Linked DNA regions of Sus scrofa. The protein of the gene in region 2 interacts with the protein of the main gene of each other region in a biochemical or structural test. Links are inferred from orthologs where the notes say so. Each region holds a gene or a part of one and is shown on either strand. Other genes may lie near its edges.

Evidence for each region.
Region 1: the proteins of CHM (region 2) and RAB7A are reported together in a solved structure, tested with the Homo sapiens proteins (2 studies listed by BioGRID, with this or other methods). The link is inferred for Sus scrofa from reciprocal best matches to the Homo sapiens genes CHM and RAB7A.

The regions. Positions count from the first base shown.
Region 1 is NC_010455.5:71,883,938-71,888,066, reverse strand, and holds the start of RAB7A (ras-related protein Rab-7a), read left to right. Parts: upstream 1-1,308; 5' UTR 1,309-1,445; intron 1,446-4,129.
Region 2 is NC_010461.5:69,063,465-69,067,633, reverse strand, and holds the start of CHM (rab proteins geranylgeranyltransferase component A 1), read left to right. Parts: upstream 1-1,349; 5' UTR 1,350-1,384; coding exon 1,385-1,433; intron 1,434-4,169. UniProt on the Homo sapiens protein: Substrate-binding subunit of the Rab geranylgeranyltransferase (GGTase) complex.

The DNA of each region.
Region 1 (4,129 bases), on a different chromosome or scaffold from region 2:
GCTGTGGCTGTGGTATAGGCTGGTGGCTCCAGCTCCGATTGGACCCCTAGCCTGGGAACCTCCATATGCCGCGGGAGCGGCCCAAGAAATAGCAAAAAGACAAAAAAAAAAAAAGCCACATCAGATGGCAAAGAGAACACCAAAACTCTATGCTCATAACAACTTGGCTAGGTGGCCAGGACAGGGATCCTCTCTGCCCTAGCTTCATAGGTAAGTAAAAGACTGCCAAGGATAAGGGACCTACTTTTCCCAAGTTGTCTCCATTTTTGAGGCTGGATTAAGGCTTACTGTGGTAGCTGTGGTAACTGCTCAGTGTGTTGTAGCAATTATCATCATTACTATCATCCCAGATTCCCATTTTTCAGGCTGAAAGCCATTTCCTCACTTTTGGTGCAGAAGGGACAAAGATGCTTCTCGGTGCCTCCAGCCCATTCCCTCTGGTACTCCCCCTCTTCTTCCCTACCTCATCTCTTTCCTCCCCTGAGGGGCCTGGCCTTAGAAGCCCCAGTGTCTGTCCCAGGAGGCTGCAACAACTATGAGGGTTGGGCTCCGTTACTTTACCACCTTTTTTGCACACACCTGACAGGGAGAATGTGTAGCAGTTACAGTTAGTCAATCTCTCACCCCAAACTGTCCCCAATACCAGCTATTGGGGGACTTTGAGCCTTCCTCCCTGTCCTCACCTGTAAAACGAGCCTCATAGGGTTGTAGACCAAGTGGTACACATGCTGTAAGGGGTTGCTGTTCTTACTATTACGAGTGGGTAAGAAACGGAGATTTAAGGAGATACTGTGATTGGAAAACTCAGTCCTTGCAATTGCCCTGCCCATTAGATAACGTCACCCCATTTTATATAAAGGAGGGACCTCCGGGCCACCTCCACTAAGGTTGAATGGGGAGGGCAAGGTGGACGCTGTTTTCTCATCTGTAAATGGCAACAACAGCACGGGCCTTTCCGACACGGTGACTAACAGATCACCGAGCCCATCAAGCCATGCTGGCTCAGCACACAGCGCCCGCGCCAATGCCAATACACACGTTCCCAGGCCACCGCAGCCGCGCCCCAGCTCGGCTCACAGGTCCGGGCCACGCCCCCCGAGAAGACCCGGAAGCAGAGTCCCCCCGCAGGTCAAAGCTGGCGATGCTGCTCCTGTACCGCCGCCAGAGGGCATGAGCGCGGCCTTTGTTGGCTTGCACCTCGCCAGTTACGTCAGCGGCCGGTCGCGGAAATAGAGGGGTTTGCCGTACAAAATGGCGGCTGCCTATGGGGCGGTTCGGAACGCTGAGAAGCTGTTCTGTTTCTGGGACACGCGGCGATCCTGGCGTAGGGCTTGCAGCAGGCTTCTAGCCAAAGACGGCTCCCGCGGAATTTCCCGGCGCCTTTGTTGTCAGTAAGCGGCAGAAGGCACAAGATGGAGGCGTTGGCTGGGCGGCCGGAAATGAAAGTGAGCGGCGGCGTGTTTCCCTCCCCACCCGGCTCCCCCGCCCTCAGAGCGCCTCGTTGGGCCGCGAAGTCAGCAGTGACCCGGGGTCTGAGCTATGTCCCTCCTTTCTGAGGCGTGACCTGCCGCGAAAGGTACAGAGTGAGAAGCCGAGCCCAGGAAGTGTATGGGGGCCCACTGTTGCGGGCTTGGTGTTTTCCTTTAAGACTCACGGGGCCTCGGTCTCCTCGAGCGAAGACGCAAATCCCGAAACGTTCCATTGGGAACGACATGTGTAAGGCTCAGTGCGGGGCTCCAGGTTCGCAGGTTTTCTTCTCTGGCCGCGGGGTCGCCTCAGAGTGACGCTTAACCCAGGAGGCCTGCCGGGAGGTGGGGCGGCGGAGCGGGCTGCCTCTGAGCACAGCGTCGGGTCGGAGACCCTTTGCTTATTTAATTAATGTGAAACACATCCTGTGTAAGTTTAAAAAACACTTAATATCGGTGATATACACACAGCGTGGAACTTAACCATCTTAGTCGCTTTCGAGTGTGCAGTTCAGTGGCATTAAATACATCGCGTTGCTCTGTGATCAGGCTCTATATAAGTTCATTTTGCCGAAGACCGAAGCTCTGTACCCTTGAAAGGGTACCTCCACATTTGTCCCTCCCCAGTCCCTGGCAACCACCGTTCTTTCCTCATACAGGAGGCCTGGAGTGTTTGTCCTTTTGTGACTGGTGTGCATCACTGAGCATAAAGTCTTCAAGGTTCACTCGCGCTGTAGCACGCTCCTTTCTTTTTCAAGGCAGGTTGATGTTCTGTGGTTTTCACGAGCCCTGAAGGGTAGCGGAATAGCCACCCCAAGTGTGCCAACTTGGCACGCGGGTTGCTTTGAGCCAAAGGCAGTCAGTATCCAGCAATATGAGGGAAAGCCTGTAGCTCTCCCTTAACTGCCTAAAAGAATTTAAATAAGGACCAGACCAGAAAAAGCAATTACCAGAGAGAAACTTTTCTATCTAAAAGACTTACTTGGGGAGTTCCCGTCGTGGCGCAGTGGTTAACGAATCCCACTAGGAACCATGAGGTTGCAGGTTCGGTCCCTGGCCTTGCTCAGTGGGTTAACGATCCGGCGTTGCCGTGAGCTGTGGTGTAGGTTGCAGACGCAGCTCGGATCCCGCGTTGCTGTGGCTCTGGTGTAGGCCGGCGGCTCCAGCTCCGATTCGACCCCTAGCCTGGGAACCTCCATATGCCGCAGGAGCGGCCCAAAGAAATAGCAAAAAGACAAAAAATAAATAAATAAATCAAAATAAAATAAAATAAAAGACTTACATGCATGGCAGGACAAACATCTAATCACCAAGCCTCTGCCCTGCTCTTCTCTTCTTGTGAGTGGCCCTCCTCCCCTCTGAAGCTCCAGCCCCAACCCTTCCCTCAGCTCAGGAGGGCAGATAAGCCTCACTTGCCTGACTACCTTCTTATTTTTATAGGGCTCCCATACATATGAAATTAAGTTGGTTCCTTGCCTATTAATCTTTTTTATGACAATTTAACCATTAGACTAGCCAAAGAAATTAGAAAAATAGAAGGAAAATTTTTCCACCCTGACACCGCATTTTATTTATTCATCTGTTCGTAGACACCTGGTTTGCTTCTACTGTTTGCTACTGTGAATAACTCTGTGAACATAGGATGGACACACATTTTTACATGAACTAATATCCAGTAGGGTTGCAGAGAGGAGAGTATGATTTACATATTTAAATTTGATGAGGTAATTTTGAATCATAAATGAAACATTAAGCTGTTTACAAGATCACTATAAGATTTTAAATGTAGTCAGTCATTGTGCATTATGGGCCATGGCGTAGCCTGGTGATGGGACATGGATTTAAGGTGCTGTGGTGATTGTGGACCTCCCTTCAGCCCTGCCAGCAGGCTTGGGGGAATTTTGTGGATAATCTTACTTAGAGATGGCATCGAAAACCTAAGGAGTAGGTGCACAAATATAGGAATCAAAGATCCATAACAAAGGATTGTGAAGTGACATTTTGGAAGCATCTAAGGCCTGATTTATTCATATGTGAGGCGTGGGAAATTATGGTATTCGTCTTAAGGGGTTATTGTGGGGATAGCAGAGTCATGGTGGATAAAAGGCTCACCTGGCCAGTAATAAATGTTGGCCATGGTGTCTGTGGACATAAAAAAATGTTCATAGTGTGCAATTAATTTTTTTTTTTTTTTTTTGGCTGCACCCAAGGCATATGGAAGTTCCCTGGCCAGGGATTGAATCTGTCACCAAAGCATCAGACCGACCCTGCCCACCCACCCCCACTGCAGTGACAACTGCACCACATGAGAACTCCCTGCAATTAATTTTTAAAAGGCAGTACATCTGGGTGAAGGGTACATGGGGATTCTTTTTACTATCTTTGCAACTTTTCTGTTTATGTCAAAATAAGTTTAAAAAACACATTAAAATAGCATGTAAAATGGAAAACAATTTTGAGGAAAAATTTTTGCCCACAAAAAAGACTTGATATTTTTATATCAAACATGCTAATCATGGAGTTCCTGTGTGGCTCAGCAGTAATGAATCCAACTGGTATCCATGAGGACTCAGGTTGGATCCCTGGCCTTGCTTAGTGGGTGAAAGGATCCAGTATTGCCATGAGCTATGGTGTAGGTTGCAGACTCGGCTTGGATCTGGCCT
Region 2 (4,169 bases):
ACAGAGGTCAGTCCGGTGGTTTAAGGGAAGGCCCACCATCGCATTCTCTGAATGATTTTGACACTCTTGTAAAACAACTATACAATGAATTTCTGGAATTAAAGAAGTATCCTTTCTCACTCCATGCACCCTCTCCCTCTCTTTTTTCTTTGGTATTGTCAGACAGCAAAGCATTTTAAATAACGGAAATGGGATGCAGGTGGGAGGAGATCAAACTTCAAAATACCTATGAGAGTTGCATTAGCTGCTTGGCACAGGCAATCTAAGCCCCCTCATCAAATACAATCACTTTAACAGAAAGTCCATTGTGGAGTCCCCATTGTGGCGCAGTGGAAACGAATCCGACTAGTAATCATGAGGTTGTCGGTTGGATCCCTGGTTTCGCTCAGGGAGTTAAGGATCTGGTGTTGCCATGAGCTGTGGTATAGGTCGTAGCTGCCTCTGAGAACCTGCACTGCTGTGGCTGTGGCTTAGGCCAGCAGCTGTAGCTTCTATTCAATCCCTAGTTTGGGAACCTCCATATGCTGCAGGTGCGGCCCTAAAAAAAAAAAAAAAAAAAGAAAAAGGCATATATATATATATATATATGTTCACTTTACCTTGATCATTTAGGCGGTACCTTACTGGGGGAATCTTGTATGAACTCCTGTATATATATATATATATATATATATATATATATGTAAAACCATATTCAGAATCAATCAATGCCTAGGAAGCAACTACTATGCCTTCATATCTTTTTTTCCTTCTGTAAAGCAAGACTAATTTTGCAAATATATATTGCCAGGTTGGCTGTTTAGACTAACTAAAACAAATACAGACGCAGTGAGAGTTCCAGTCTGCCGAAACTAGGGTGAAAATTTTTTTGTGGCTTTTCATTTGGGCGACCTAAAGACAAAAAGATAACAGATAGAGTTTGAAGGTATTGGTGTGAAAAATTATGCCTGGGGGGCCAAAACGAAAGTAGAGACAAGATGGAAGCAACAGTTTCCAGGTTGGAATTAAAATTTCCTTTGTTCACAGAGCAATCCCCTTTCAATTTCACTGTGCCCTCCCTGTCTCCTAACAATTCTTGCTTCATCAGTGTCATGGGGTTCCCAGGTTTTCCCACATTCATCCTAGCCGTCAGAGTAAAAATCTCTTTTGTGTCTCAAAACTCCAGGCTAAAGTCGCGACTGCACTTAGCCCGAAAAATGAATACAGCTTTTAACACTCGTGTAAAACATTTCAACTATAACGCTGTAGCTTTCTACCTGGACCTGCCACTCGAGAACTACAATACCCAGAATGCACTGTTTCCCCTTCCGCCTTCTGCCTCTGCAAAGCCTAACTTGATCTCATTTCCACCTAGCAATAGTCACATGACACATTTCCTGTCAAGATGGCGGAAAATCTCCCCTCGGAGTTTGATGTGATCGTAATAGGGACGGGTATGTGTGGCTATGGTACTCCCTGGACAAACTGTAGGAAGTCTTTCCCGTTCCTACCCTCTCTGTCAGTGGCAAGGGTCGGCGAGAAATGTTGGGGGTCGAGCATAAGAGGGAGGACGGAAAGGAAGTGAGGTAGTCTGGAGTCAGCGCGGGACTTGGCAGCTCCAGGGAGGGGCTTGGACCGGCTGTGCTTAGCGCCATTTGAGTAGGGGTCGATCTGGTCGATGCCGATTGCCGAGGTTGGTTGCTGCGGGTGATTCCTGTAATTTCCTTAGAGGGAGGTGGGTGTACAGTGTCATGAGAATGGAGGGTTGGGATTTTATCAATGGAGACACCTTTGGCATGACATTATGATTTCCTTCTTGTGGATTTCAAGGTGATCCTCCCCATCATTTTGTCTCGCCATTCGTAGGAATTTTTCATATATTTATAAAGTTTTAGGGTGCAGTGCAGCCCGGATACAGCGTGTTAGTTGTTGCCCATGTACGTTTTAATTTACTAAAGCGAGGAAATGGATTCTTTTCTATTGTCTTGAGAATCCTAGGGGGTTGTAATTTTTTGAGGTAGCCATTATTCCTGCTTTATGGTGCTGAAAGAAAGCGTTTTGTTTTCTACCACTCACTTATCTACCCACAGCTAAATTAGCTGAGAACAAGCGTGTCCAGTTCAGGTGTGTGATCTTATCTTCCCCCTTTTCTTCCCCATCGTTTATTCTCCATGTTTTGGGTGGTGACAGAACTTCCCCTTCAATTTCTAGTTGACAAATTACACGTTACAGCATGTGGCAGAAAACATTTGGCAGCAGTTCATGTATTGTTTTTAACAATGTAAAGGATGGATTTTAGATGGAGTGAAATAGTTTGTAGGGAGGGGTTTTCTCCTGTCTGCAGAACGTGGTAGGCTGGAGAAGCTCTGGTGTATGAGACCCTGTCCATTGTGTTAATGAATTCAGTTCATTGTCTTCTCAAATAGTAGGAGTGGCCATGTTTCCAGGTCGGGAGTAAAAATAATAAAACTGTCTATTTTCGATTGTGTATTACTGGCTAATTGATGTGCTAAGCACTTTACAAGCCATATGTAATCCTCACAACAACCTAGTTAGAATAGGTCTTATCTACACTTTACAGAGGAGGGGAAAAGGCTTGGAGAGATCGCAGTTTGCATAAGATCACACAACTGGTAAATTTCCAAAGGCCCATTCCATCCCAGAATGAGAATAAGTGGTTCTGACCCTCAGAGTTAACCCATATGAATAGAAATAATTGGAAAAACTTGGTTCTAGACCCTGCTTGGCCATTAACTAGCTGTGTGAATTTCTAGAGCTAGGCACTTAATCTCTCTGAGTCTCAGTTTCCTTGTTTTTGAATATAGGAAGGCTTTACTGGATAGCCTTTCAGGTGTTGTCTAACTAAAAATTCTCTTATTCTTGTACATGGGTAATTGTTCTCAAAACAGCAAGGACATATTTATTCTCAACCTGAACACCGCATGGCTACAGATAACCTTGCTGTAGCTGCTATGAACAGATGTTGGATGAGAGCTGGAAGGGTTCAGTTAGACTCTATTCTCTCCAGTCTATCCTAAAACTTGGAACAACATCTGCTTTAGAATAGTTGTTATCCATACTTGGGTCCTATGTTACTCCCTTTTTTGTTGTTGCTACCTCAGAACTTAGGGTGTTTTAAAAATTACCTTGAGTCCTTGCGATTTTTTTCTTATCTTGATTAAAATTTTAATTGATGAGTGCTAATTCTTATTATTAAGTGCTGTTAATTCTTATATAAGAAATATTTTGCCATCTAGTTCAGTTTATAATATGGACTACATCCATCCTGTTGGAATCTCATAAAATAAGAGAGTTAGGAAGATTCTGTGACTGATCCAGAAAATTGCATTAGGAGGCATCCTGGATATTTGGGAAAAGATTCATCTTAGACTTATTTCCATGAGAGTAAAGTTATTTCTCAAAGTATGGGGAAAACTTATTTGAAGTTAAAAGTTTTTCATATCACTTAATGAACACATTTTTATCAAGTACATTACTCAAATTTATGATATGTAGCTTTATTTTTAGGTATGTCAAAGTGGAAAAATTGGGTAAAAGTCATTTCCCAAATAAATGAATCCAGTAACCCCAGTCATTAATTAACAAGAATTATTTTAATGTGTTTGGAATATTTATCTTCCAAAATAGTTTGCTGAAAGTAGCCTTTAAAATGTTTTGCGTGGGGAATTTCCGTTGTGGCTCAGAAGGTTAAAAACAGGACTAGTATCCAGGATATGGGTTCCTCCCCTGGCCTCCCTCAGGGGATTAAGGATCTGGCGGTGCAGTGAGCTGTAGGTCACAGACGCAGCTTGGATCTTCTATTGCTGTAGCTGTGGCATAGGTTGGCAGCTGCAACTCCAATTTGACTTCTAGCCCAGGAATTTCCATATGCCACAAATGTGACCCTAAAAAAAGAAAAATAAAATGTAATAAATATAAATACATAAAATAAATAAATAAAATGTTTTGCCTTACTAAATGTGCTTGCTTGAGTAAATCATAGAAAAAGTAGTATTTTAAAGATTCAGTTGTATTAACAAAAGTGGAATTAATCATGCCTGTATTAGAAACATGAAGAAATAGGCAATGAGATGCAGTTTTAAGAGAAAAAGAACTAAAAACAGATTTAGTTCTAGTTAAAATGTTGAGACAATTGCTTCATCAAGTAAAATAATCTATAGTTAATATTA